2 linked regions of the Macaca mulatta genome follow. The protein of the gene in region 1 interacts with the protein of each later gene in a biochemical or structural test. Links are inferred from orthologs where the notes say so. Each region holds a gene or a part of one and is shown in the gene's direction. Other genes may lie near its edges.

Region 1 (6,302 bases):
CGGCCTCTCATAGTGCTGGGATTACAGGCCTGAGCTACTGCGCCTGGCAGCATTAATTCACTGAAGAATCTACAGAAAACTTTTTGTGGAACTATTCTGGGTTGGAATCTAACACTTACGACTCATTTGCTTTGTGACCTTGGGTAAGTCACTTCTCAGCCTGAATGTCTTCACTTATAAAATACATAATATAGCTAATACTTAATAACATCTTCCTGATAAGGATGACACGAAATACCAACTGCCTCCCTGACTTAGGCACCTAACACTGTAGGCAGTCAGCAATTACTTCACCTTTTTACCTGTCTAAAGCATCAGAGGCCTCAGTTCTTTTTTTTTTTTTTTTTTTTTTTTTGAGACGGAGTCTCGCTGTGTCGCCCAGGCTGGAGTGCAGTGGACGGATCTCAGCAAGCTCTGCCTCCCGGGTTTTTACGCCATTCTCCTGCCTCAGCCTCCCGAGTAGCCGGGACTACAGGCGCCCGCCACCTCGCCCGGCTAGTTTTTTTTTTGTATTTTTTAGTAGAGACGGGGTTTCACCGTGTTAGCCAGGATGGTCTCGAACTCCTGACCTCGTGATCCGCCCGTCTCGGCCTCCCAAAGTGCTGGGATTACAGGCTTGAGCCACCACGCCCGGCCAAGGCCTCAGTTCTTAACTCCAAAGGGCTTAAAATAGTATAGGAGAATTCAGATTTTAAAACATAAGAACATACAAGCAAGCGACAACATTTAAGATACAAATACTGAAGGACATGACCTTATCGTGTCATTGACAAGCTATCAAGGCCGGCTCCACCAAAACACGGATAAAGAGGAGGCCAGAAATCCAGGTGCCTGCAGTAAAGTTTAACCTTCGTGATTGCAAAAAGCAGGAGCTCAACTATCTTGCTTTATGCATAGGCGGTATTTACTATTAACTCGGAAAAATGGAAGTGACTTATCCGCACTTTAGCCTCAAAGCTTGAAAAGTTAACCAGTCGTAAGTGGTTAGCGCCTTTGTCTGGCGGAACTTAACAAAATGGCGTTTTCTGGAATCTTACGGAGACTCTGCATATTGGTCAGCTCAGTATTAACTTATTTGGTGAGCGCTGTCCCCAAATCCCGTTCCGGCTGCACTCGCAGGGCTTGCAGCGACATTGAGGTATCTGCCCGCCTGTCCGCCCACCCGGGAAACGGGTAAGATTTGAGAGGTACTTTATAGGGGCAGTTAAATGAAGACTCAAACAAATCCTAGTGTTGATGCGGAACTGCGCGCCGAATGCCTTGGCTCTGACACCTGTTGAGCTGCAAGACTTCACTAAAGCGTCCCACCTAATGACTGTAACAACGTCCCCTGAGGTGGGCCAATATGGCGACGGTCTCCTCTTGGCACAGCCCTCTTCCCTCCCTCATGATGGGCGGCTCCGGTAACGCCCATTGGCCAACTAGGAGGCGGTGCCAGGCTTACTTCGTTCCCTCATTGGATTGAATAACTTAGGGAGCCGCCAATTCTCCTCTGCCACTCCAAGTTTCCGCCCTCAGAGTTAATCTGGCGTTTAATTGGCTTTTAATTCACGTCAATATGCGTCCTTTCCTGTCTTTTTTCAGTCTTAATCCAATCATAACTTTCCTGGCTGCCCGCCTGATTTCTGATTGGTTTTAATCAGCTTCAGCCTATCCTATTCCTGTCTACTTCTTACCTCTCCTCCCACTAGGATTTTGCCCAAGCATATCCCGGATTCTAGTTGGCCGTTGTTCTGTCATTCCTATCAAACCTTTCCCTATCCCAATGTCTCAGGGAGCCCGCCTGCCGGTTGACTGGTTTCCTTCCAAGCCAATAATCCCCAGCTCCCGCCCATCTTCACTTCCTGCATCTTTCATTGGCTTTTAACACTGAGAGGGCTGTCTTTTTGGGCGGACACCAGGCACGCAACTTAGTCTTACACGCCTTAGAGAGCAAGCGAGTCTTGCCATTGGAAAACCTCACCGTCTTTCTTCTGCAAGTCCCACCTTTCCCCCTCCCTCATTGGGCGGGGCAGCAGAGAAGGGGCGGGGCATAGGTTGGGCTGGTGGCGCGCTGCTCCCTCCTCCTCACCCCCCCCTCCCTGTCCGGTCCGGGTTCGCTTGCCTCGTCAGCGTCCGCGTTTTTCCCGGCCCCCCCCAACCCCCCCGGACAGGACCCCCTTGAGCTTGTCCCTCAGCTGCCACCATGAGCGGTAAGGATGAGTCCACTCCAAGCTTAGGGGTGGGAGGCGAGTGAGGGGGCGCGCGCGAGGGCCGACCGGGCGATCCCCGCCGTGAGGGGGGGCGGGCGGGAGGCGGCGGCGGCGGCCTAGGTCCCGCCCGGGGCGGAGGGAAGGGAGGGAGACGGGGCAGTGGCTGGGCCTCCGAGGAGGAGGGGGATGGGCCGCCCGCCCCGGGGGAGGGGGCAGCGTGGCCTCGCCCGCCCCCTGCCCGCCCCGGCCACGGGGGACGGGCCTTACCCCCCACTACTCGGCCGCCCGCCTGAGGCTCCTCCCGCCGGGGGCTGGAGCCGCGGGGGCGGCCCGAGCAGTGAAGGCCCCGCCCGGGCCAACCGCTTGTCTGGTCCGTCCTCTGGTCGCCGCCTGCTCCGGCGCCCTCCTCCCCCCACTTTCCGTAGATTTCCCTTCCCCCCGCCCCACCGTCCCGCCCTTTCCACGCCCCTCACCCCGAAACCGCCCTTTCCCTCAGGGCCCGCCCTCCGCCCCGAAACCTCCTGACTACTAACCAGTACACCCCTTTAGTTCCTTAGTAGTATTCACAAATGTTTTCCTACTAAAACTTTTTATTTCTTTTTCCCTTCTCCTCTTGTTACTTTTAATACTTGGGTTTTTGTTTATCTCTCTCTTTTTTTTTTGAGAGGGAGTTTCGCTCTTGTCGCCCAGGCTGGAGTGCAATGGTGCGATCTCGGCTCACTGCTACCTCCCGGATTCAAGCGATTCTCCTGCCTCAGCCTCCGGGAGTAGCTGGGATTACAGGCATGCGCCACCACACACGGCTAATTTTGTATTTTTAGTGGGGACGGGGTTTCTCCTTGTTGGTCAGGCTGGTCTCAAACTCCTGACCCCAGGTGATCCTCCTGCCTCAGCGTCTCAAAGTACTGGGATTACAGGCATGACCACCGCGCCTGGCCTCTCCATCTCTTTTAACCTTAATTTTAGCAATCTTTCCATCCACCCACATATTGTTTTTTGCCTTACTTGTCCTTTTTTCCCTTAGGATACTTTTTCTTATTTTGAAACTCTTTCAGCATGACTACCATCCTTCACATTTCCTATCCCCAAAGCACTTTTTGAATGTTTTCTTAGTTAATTTTGTGTAAGGGAGAATTGAGGCCCACTTTTGGCACCATTGAGCCTAGTTCATGTCCTGCATGCCCTGCAGCTCCCCTCTGCCCTCCAATCCATTTTCTTTATACTGGCGCCTTTCGCCTTCCTGTTAGTCATTGCTATTTCATCATAGCCTCCTTTTATCCTTCCTACCTCATCTCTTTTCTTCCCTCAAGTTTAAGTTGTTTGTTTTTTAATTGTTTTAGACCAAGATCACTCCATGGATGAAATGACAGCTGTGGTGAAGATTGAAAAAGGAGTTGGTGGCAATAATGGGGGCAGTGGTAATGGTGGTGGTGCCTTTTCACAGGCTCGAAGTAGCAGCACAGGCAGTAGCAGCAGCAGTGGAGGAGGAGGAGGGCAGGTAAGTGATAATAATAGAGTGGGGAAGATGTTGAGAGGATGTAAATATTCTTAGATAATTGCCTTACTCTTCATAGAAAGCTTTTTAGGGAGCTTATCAAAACCATTTTATAGATAAGAAGTAAGAGTATGGAGATCCCCAAAGACAGGAGTTTCAGCAATACAGATAGGTCAGCTTTTTGTTTCTGTTTTTTGCTCCTTGTCTGCACTACGTTGCTGTTTATTTGTTGTATACTGCCCCCTAGGCTGGCAGCTGGGTGTCACTAACTCCTTTCCTCTCCCTTATTTTTGGCCAGGAGTCCCAGCCATCCCCTTTGGCTCTGCTGGCAGCAACTTGCAGCAGAATTGAGTCACCCAATGAGAACAGCAACAACTCCCAGGGCCCGAGTCAGTCAGGGGGAACAGGTGAGCTTGACCTCACAGCCACACAACTTTCACAGGGTGCCAATGGCTGGCAGATCATCTCTTCCTCCTCTGGGGCTACCCCTACCTCAAAGGAACAGAGTGGCAGCAGTACCAATGGCAGCAATGGCAGTGAGTCTTCCAAGAATCGCACAGTCTCTGGTGGGCAGTATGTTGTGGCTGCCACTCCCAACTTACAGAACCAGCAAGTTCTGACAGGACTACCTGGAGTGATGCCTAATATTCAGTATCAAGTAATCCCACAGTTCCAGACCGTTGATGGGCAACAGCTGCAGTTTGCTGCCACTGGGGCCCAAGTGCAGCAGGATGGTTCTGGTCAAATACAGATCATACCAGGTGCAAACCAACAGATTATCACAAATCGAGGAAGTGGAGGCAACATCATTGCTGCTATGCCAAATCTACTCCAGCAGGCTGTCCCCCTCCAAGGCCTGGCTAATAATGTACTCTCAGGACAGACTCAGTATGTGACCAATGTACCAGTGGCCCTGAATGGGAACATCACCTTGCTACCTGTCAACAGCGTTTCTGCAGCTACCTTGACTCCCAGCTCTCAGGCAGTCACCATCAGCAGCTCTGGGTCCCAGGAGAGCGGCTCACAGCCTGTCACCTCAGGGACTACCATCAGTTCTGCCAGCTTGGTGTCATCACAAGCCAGTTCCAGCTCCTTTTTTACCAATGCCAATAGCTACTCAACTACTACTACCACCAGCAACATGGGAATTATGAACTTTACTACCAGTGGATCATCAGGGACCAACTCTCAAGGCCAGACACCCCAGAGGGTCAGTGGGCTACAGGGGTCTGATGCTCTGAACATCCAGCAAAACCAGACATCTGGAGGCTCACTGCAAGCAGGTCAGCAAAAAGAAGGAGAGCAAAACCAGCAGACACAGCAGCAACAAATTCTTATCCAGCCTCAGCTAGTTCAAGGGGGACAGGCCCTCCAGGCCCTCCAAGCAGCACCATTGTCAGGGCAGACCTTTACAACTCAAGCTATCTCCCAAGAAACCCTCCAGAACCTCCAGCTTCAGGCTGTTCCAAACTCTGGTCCCATCATCATCCGGACACCAACAGTGGGGCCCAACGGACAGGTCAGTTGGCAGACTCTACAGCTGCAGAACCTCCAAGTTCAGAACCCACAAGCCCAGACAATCACCTTAGCCCCAATGCAGGGTGTTTCTTTGGGACAGACCAGCAGCAGCAGCACCACTCTTACACCCATTGCCTCAGCTGCTTCCATTCCTGCTGGCACAGTCACTGTGAATGCTGCTCAACTCTCCTCCATGCCAGGCCTCCAGACCATTAACCTCAGTGCATTGGGTACTTCAGGAATCCAGGTGCACCCAATTCAAGGCCTGCCGTTGGCTATAGCAAATGCTCCAGGTAAGCTTTCCGATCTTTTGCATTTATTGGGAACCAACCCTAGCATCTTAGCTGAAACTTGAGTCTAAATAAGGGAATAGAGCTTTTTGAGATAACACTTTCTTGAGGGCTAGTCATATAGGCAAATAAATTTGAGAAATAGAGATTCTGCTTAAGTAATTTGGAACTGAAGTAAAGGAAACTTCTCCAGTTAGTTTGATGAGAAAGGAGCACTTCTGGGCAATATTTTGGAGTCTGTGTACTACTCAGTGTTTTTGGTGCTGCAGAATAAGGGTTGACAAACTTTTTCTGTAAAGGGCCAGATAGTAAATATTTTAGGCTTTGTGGGCCTCATGTGGTCACGTTTTCTTTTCTGTTTTCTTTTTTTTTTTTTTTGAGATAGAGGCTTGCTCTGTTACCCAGGCTGGAGTGCAGTGATGCAGTCTCGGCTCACTGCAACCTCTGCCTCTCGGGTTCAAGCGATTCTCCTGCCTCAGCTTCTTGAGTAGCTGGGATTGCAGACAAACGCCACCATGCCCAGCTAATTTTTGTATTTGTAGTAGAGACGAGGTTTTGCTGTGTTGGCTAGGCTGGTCTCAAACTCCTGACCTCAGGTGATCCACCTGCCTCAGCCTCCCAAAGTGCTGGGATTACAGGTACGAGCCCCTGCGCCTAGCCACATTTTCTTTTTTGTATGTTTTTTTCCGCACCCTTTTAAAAATGTAAAACCATTTTTAGCTCTAAGGCCTTCTTTGGCCTGTAGGCCAACTCCTCCATAGGATAAAAATTGATTATGGGCCGGGCACGATGGCTCACTCCTGTAAT
Region 2 (6,251 bases), on another chromosome or scaffold:
TTTCCAGAGTGCTGTAATTTCTATACAGTCAAAACTATACTGCAAATTCAACTGTTACTGTTGCAGCCTAAAATCTTAAGTTACTTATATAAGCCTTACGTGGGTGTTTTTAGTTAAAACATATTTACAAGTAAACAGGAATATTATGTCATAAGCAACAGTTTAATAATAATCTGAAGTTACTAGACAGTCATTAATAAAATATGTTGCTTCAAACTCCCAACAGTATTGGTCATGTGTTTACCCAATTATCTTGTGCAAGTCAGGATTTCTCTGGTGCCCAAATAAGTGGTGATTAAACTTAGGCTGTTAAGAACTGGCATAATGACAACATCAACACTAATGCATTTCTTAGTTTTTCTTTTTTATTATATTGATCTACATGAAACAAAATATTGGAAGTACATGAAGCTCAGAATTATCAATACTGTTGACGTTTCCTGCATACCACATTCTCCTCTCCCCTAGATATTGCTGGGATTTGCGAAGTTTAACAGTTTCTCTACCAAAAGCAACTTAGCTTAAAATACTTGTTCCTTGAAATGCCTGACGATTGGTAGGAAAGCACTGGCAATCGATATTAGAAACAAACATCTCCACTATGTTCTGGACACATGACGTTCTGGAAACGAATGAGAGTGTATCTTCCAGGCACATAATCCCCCTCTCCAAGCCCATTTCTCACAACTGGCCAAACCATGACAACTGGTTTGTACGCAGTCCTAGTGAAAAGGATGAAAGCGTCCTAGACAACCAAATTAATTCGCTCTTCAAAAGCGGTGCTAGACAAAGCCCATGACTCTAGAGGGCACTGAAGAGAAAAAAGCACCACTATTCTTCTGTGGCAGGGGCATGAATAAACCTTAAGAGTGCCGTTCCTTTAAAGACCACTACAAAAGGAGGTACGACCTCAGGGCCCATAGTGCAAGGGAGGAGGGCACATGGACAGCGGCTAGACGCCCCACAGAAAGACAAGTCCGAGGACGACCCTTCTGACTGCTCTTTTTGCAGCCAGGACCCGAGCGTCCTACCGGCCTCGCCCCAGTGCCTCTCTCCCACCTCATACTGCTGTTCCACGGCCTCAAAGCGAAGAGGGGGTGAAGCTGAGAGACCCTATCCAGAGAACCCGCCACCGCGACGCAGCGTCTGACAGTAACGAGCCCCGCCGACACCCCAGACCCAGTCCGGGCTAGCCCGAGGCCTCCCTGAAGGTGGACAGTTTCAGTAAACACACACCGCGACCCCAGGGAAACACTCACCAGCCTCCGAGCGGGCCATGTCTCGGAAGCAGGTCGCCGCCGGACTCCGACGCTGCCAGACCGGCGACGGTGTCCTGCAAGGACCGAACGCAGAGCAGACGCTGGGGGGCGGGCGCACGAACTAAAGCGCGGGGAAGGAGGCGTGAAAGAGGGAGGGACGTTAAAAGAACTTCTCGCCGCTGATTGGTCATCAGAGGAGCACTTCCTTTCACAGCACGTGCCACGGAAGCGGTTTGGGAAGTTTAGAGACCATTCTCCGCCGGCCAAAACCCGTCACAGGATTGTCAGACCCGTGGGTCGGACGGTCCAAGTTAGCCGGCAGCTGGGGGCGGGTCCCGGGTGCTGGCAGCGCACTTCCGGTGAGCTATTTCGTTATGTATCCCTCCGCCGACGTCAACGGGGAAGTAGTGCGGCCCCCTGTCACGGTGGGCGGTGGGGGGGTAACGTCACGTGACAACGCCAGGCCCCCGCCTTCCCTCTCATTTGGTTACAGGCGTGAGGGCTCTTTGGAGACGTAAACACCTCCGAGTGGGGAGGGTGGGCGGGCTTGGGCTGGCTGTTTTATCGTCTGGCTGGGCTTGGGAAAGGGCAGGGTGGCTTTCTTGAGGTGTGGAAAGACGAGAAGAAGGTGAGGTCAAGAGAGTGGAGAATGAGGCATTTCAATGGTGGGTGGGCCCTGACCTGAGAGAGCGGCACGGGGTGGGGTGAAAGCGCGGCGATCGCGGAACGCCGGCGGGCGTTGCGGCCTCTGCGCGAGGGGCGGGGCGATTAGGTCATAGAGCGGCTCCCAGCGTGCCTTGCGGCGTAGGAGGAGGTCCAGACTATAAAAGCGGCTGCCGGAAAGCGGCCGGCACCTCATTCATTTCCACCGGTCTCTAGGTGTGCAGCTTTGGCTGGTGTCATCGCCGTCACTCCTCCGCTGCCGCCCCCGCAAGGCTTCGCCGTCGCCGAAGCCATTTCCAGCGACTCGTCGCACCCTTTTCTATCTACTTCGTTCCCCGCCAACCGCAACCATTGACGCTATGTCGGGTTATTCGAGTGACCGAGACCGCGGCCGGGATCGAGGGTGAGTGTGGGAGCCGAGTTGTCAGGGCTGGCGGGTGGGGGATGGGAGGGCGGGTCAGGGTGGCGGCGGGCCGGGGCTTTGCGGCTTGGACTCGGCCTTTCCGGGCTATCTTGGGGCCTCCTTTCCCGAAGGCTTGCGCCATTTTGATATTCACGTAACAGTGAGTGGGAGAGATTTGACGGGATAGTGTCTTCATCCTCGCTTTTTGTGTGGGGGTCGGGGAGCCGTCGGGGCGGCTGCCATTTGGTAGCTGTTGAGGGAATTCAGAGGGAGCGCATTGTTCGGATGAAAGCGCGACGCTTCGAGGCAGACGAAGGAACAGCTGTTAGGTGCGGCCTTTCGGGAGGTGTTTTTGGGGTGGTCGGGCATTCTGTGGGAGCGAAGGGACCACCTCCAAAGCCACTGGTGCTGTGGGGGTAGGAGGGCGGCCGGCATCAGCCATGTGGCTGAGTCGCGGGTATAAAATGCCGGCCTTGGACATGGCGGCGGCGCCTTTGTTACTCCGCCCGGCGGAGGAGCTCAAAATGGCAGCGTCGAGAAAATGTGGCGCAGAGAGAAATGCGAGACAAAGGGGGAAGCGCCGCCCCAGCGGGAACGCCGCCCGGCCGGCTCCGCCCGGGCCGGGACTCCTCCCCCGGTAGTCGCCGGCTCCTCCTTTTCTTTTTTCCTGCGTTATATAATTTTAATTCGTTGATCCGGAGCTCTACCGCGGCGTCCCCCCAGCTCGGTTTGCTAGCAGAAGTGTTTCTAAACCGTTGTTTCGTTTTCGTTGTCTGTGCTGTCTAGATTGTTGACATCAAAGCTCTTTGGCTTGAAAACGGCCATATGAGTAACATCGTTGTGATGCTCTTCGGTTCATGTAGGCTTGTTATCACTGATAATGAATTGCTAGACTGGTGAGAAAGATAATAGTAACCACAAGAAGTGGTGTGTAATACTAAATTCTGGCATCTGGGTGACAAGTTTTCGATATAGTAAATCCCAGGCTGTTTACGTGGCCTAAGTTGTGTGTACTTGGGACTACGGGAAACGTTAACTGTGGCTGTTGAGAGAGAGATTATCACTAAGGACAGTGCTAGGTTTACCTCTCGAAGTCGGCTTTCAGTGATCTTTAGCTTGTGCCAAGGGATGGTAAACAAATCTGTCCAGAAACCTAGGTGTAGCCATTTGAAAATGTAAATAACTTTTTTTCTTCATTCCAGGTTTGGTGCACCTCGATTTGGAGGAAGTAGGGCGGGGCCCTTATCTGGAAAGAAGTTTGGAAACCCTGGGGAGAAACTAGTTAAAAAGAAGTGGAATCTTGATGAGCTGCCCAAGTTTGAGAAGAATTTCTATCAAGAGCACCCTGATTTGGCTAGGCGGACAGCAGTGAGTAAATTCATGTGGCTTCATCAGGCTGTAACTCAATGGAGTCTAGTAAATGAAATTCTGACAGGTGTTTTGCAAATAACTCAATTTTGGTAGAGTTACGTTTTCTGACTTCGTAATTGGGAAAGGTGTGACTCACTTTTGCAAATAGGTGGCTTTGGGAATTTTTTTTTTTTAGATTGAGTATAGCAGAATAAACGGTTTTTTTGTCATATAGGGTTTTCATACGCGGTTCCAGATTAAAATGAAGCTACTTTAAACTAGTTACTAAATTATGAAGTTACGGGCTTGCCAATTACGTATTTAGTTAGGGGTGGTTGTCATGAGCTTTAAGACTGTTATAATTTGTTTTGCAGCAAGAGGTGGAAACATACAGAAGAAGCAAGGAAATTACAGTTAGAGGTCACAACTGCCCGAAGCCAGTTCTAAATTTTTATGAAGCTAATTTCCCTGGTGAGTGCTACTTTTCAGTTCTACCCTACCCCTGTGTTTTTGTTTTCACCTACCTCCTCCTTTCCTTGGCATCACTAATTTTTGTTAAATATCTGTCACTAATTATAGCAAATGTCATGGATGTTATTGCAAGACAGAATTTCACTGAACCCACTGCTATTCAAGCTCAGGGATGGCCAGTTGCTCTAAGTGGATTGGATATGGTTGGAGTGGCACAGACTGGATCTGGGAAAACATTGTCTGTAAGTTTGAGAGAACTCTTGATGTAATATGTGCAAGAAAACGGAATGCTAATTTAAAAACAAGAGTATTTTAATGTGATTTCTGTTTGTCCCCGTCTTCACCCCAAATAGTATTTGCTTCCTGCCATTGTCCACATCAATCATCAGCCATTCCTAGAGAGAGGCGATGGGCCCATTGTAAGTATATATTTTTAACTTTTTATTAGAAGTGTAATATATAGATTTTTAGACTACATAGCAAAAGATGTAATTATTTGTGGTGGTTTTATACAGAGGTTAGCTCACCCTATTCAGCTGGAGTTGCTTTGGGTATTGGACAACACATGAAGAAAGGATCTGCCATCATAACTAATAAGTTAATAGTTTAAAACTAGTATCCAGGTTTGTGCTGAAAGCTGTTTCTCTTTCCTTAGTGTTTGGTGCTGGCACCAACTCGGGAACTGGCCCAACAGGTGCAGCAAGTAGCTGCTGAATATTGTAGAGCATGTCGCTTGAAGTCTACTTGTATCTATGGTGGTGCTCCCAAGGGACCACAAATACGTGATTTGGAGAGAGGTCTGTAATGAAGAGAGTTTTATTTGTTATTGGTGCTAAATATTTTAGGTATTATAGTTACACTTACGTGTTTAATTAAAGGTGTGGAAATCTGTATTGCAACTCCTGGAAGACTGATTGACTTTTTAGAGTGTGGGAAAACCAATCTGAGAAGAACAACCTATCTTGTCCTTGATGAAGCAGACAGAATGCTTGATATGGGTTTTGAACCCCAAATAAGGAAGATTGTGGATCAAATAAGAGTAAGTGTCCTTTGAAATATGTGATCAAATTCAATTCTATTTTCACTTTTAGTCTGACACTAATTTTTCCCCCCAAAATCCATTAGCCTGATAGGCAAACTCTAATGTGGAGTGCGACTTGGCCAAAAGAAGTAAGACAGCTTGCTGAAGATTTCTTGAAAGACTATATCCATATAAACATTGGTGCACTTGAACTGAGTGCAAACCACAACATTCTTCAGATTGTGGATGTGTGTCATGACGTAGAAAAGGATGAAAAGTAAGTTTTATTAACTCTGTTATATTCGCTTCCTAACCTTGCTAAAATTGAGGGATCATTGTTATTTCAGTTGGTGTGATTTCGTTTAGTTAGCCTATTAATCCTTCTGAAAATATCTTGAATTCTTCAAATAATGATTATCACCGTTTATAGTTTTCCTATAGAAGGAATTCATGTGTCCCCTGGTTGACTTAAGGACCAAGGGTCGAACTACTACATAAGTGGGTTAGCAGGTGTTTTCTCTTTGACTTCCAGCCATGTAAATTGAACTTAATGTTTTGCTGACCATAAATGTGGGGCCCTACCAATGGTCTTTTAAAACTCAGGATTTTTCCTTTCTCTCTCCCATTATTAGACTTATTCGTTTAATGGAAGAGATCATGAGTGAGAAGGAGAATAAAACCATTGTTTTTGTGGAAACCAAAAGAAGATGTGATGAGCTTACCAGAAAAATGAGGAGAGATGGGTATGTGTGGGCTCCTCCATTGAAGCAGATTTTTTTGTAACTGAGCTTAGGAAAGGGCAAACTTGGATCAGGAGCAGTGGATATCTGATAATATAAGTGAATTTAATTCTTTTTAATTTCTGGTGAAATTAAAGAGATCTGTGACAAGACGTGGTTAAGCACTGGAGTCTGAGGTTTTCAATGTGAGTTTTATGATACAACTTGTCTTTTAGGTGGCCTGCCATGGGTATCCATGGTGACAAGAGTCAACAAGAGCGTGACTGGGTTCTAAATGGTAAATATTTCAAATGAAGTTTTTTTCCCCCCTTACTTAGCTAGAATTCTGCTCAGATAATTGATCA

Evidence for each region. The genes of interacting proteins can lie anywhere in the genome.
Region 2: the proteins of SP1 (region 1) and DDX5 form a complex in vitro, tested with the Homo sapiens proteins (2 studies listed by BioGRID). The link is inferred for Macaca mulatta from reciprocal best matches to the Homo sapiens genes SP1 and DDX5.

What each region holds. Positions count from the first base shown.
Region 1 is NC_133416.1:60,525,141-60,531,442, forward strand, and holds the start of SP1 (transcription factor Sp1), read left to right. Parts: upstream 1-2,146; 5' UTR 2,147-2,185; coding exon 2,186-2,192; intron 2,193-2,696; exon of another isoform or gene 2,697-2,893; coding exon of another isoform or gene 2,894-2,975; intron 2,976-3,532; coding exon 3,533-3,690; intron 3,691-3,985; coding exon 3,986-5,498; intron 5,499-6,302. UniProt on the Homo sapiens protein: Transcription factor that can activate or repress transcription in response to physiological and pathological stimuli.
Region 2 is NC_133421.1:74,402,030-74,408,280, reverse strand, and holds the start of DDX5 (probable ATP-dependent RNA helicase DDX5), read left to right. Parts: upstream 1-2,051; 5' UTR 2,052-2,281; coding exon 2,282-2,325; intron 2,326-2,347; exon of another isoform or gene 2,348-2,610; coding exon of another isoform or gene 2,611-2,654; intron 2,655-3,527; coding exon 3,528-3,693; intron 3,694-4,049; coding exon 4,050-4,146; intron 4,147-4,254; coding exon 4,255-4,388; intron 4,389-4,499; coding exon 4,500-4,565; intron 4,566-4,801; coding exon 4,802-4,943; intron 4,944-5,024; coding exon 5,025-5,185; intron 5,186-5,271; coding exon 5,272-5,444; intron 5,445-5,799; coding exon 5,800-5,910; intron 5,911-6,122; coding exon 6,123-6,184; intron 6,185-6,251. Other genes in the region: CEP95 (centrosomal protein of 95 kDa), read right to left, coding at 1,260-1,278. UniProt on the Homo sapiens protein: Involved in the alternative regulation of pre-mRNA splicing; its RNA helicase activity is necessary for increasing tau exon 10 inclusion and occurs in a RBM4-dependent manner. Binds to the tau pre-mRNA in the stem-loop region downstream of exon 10.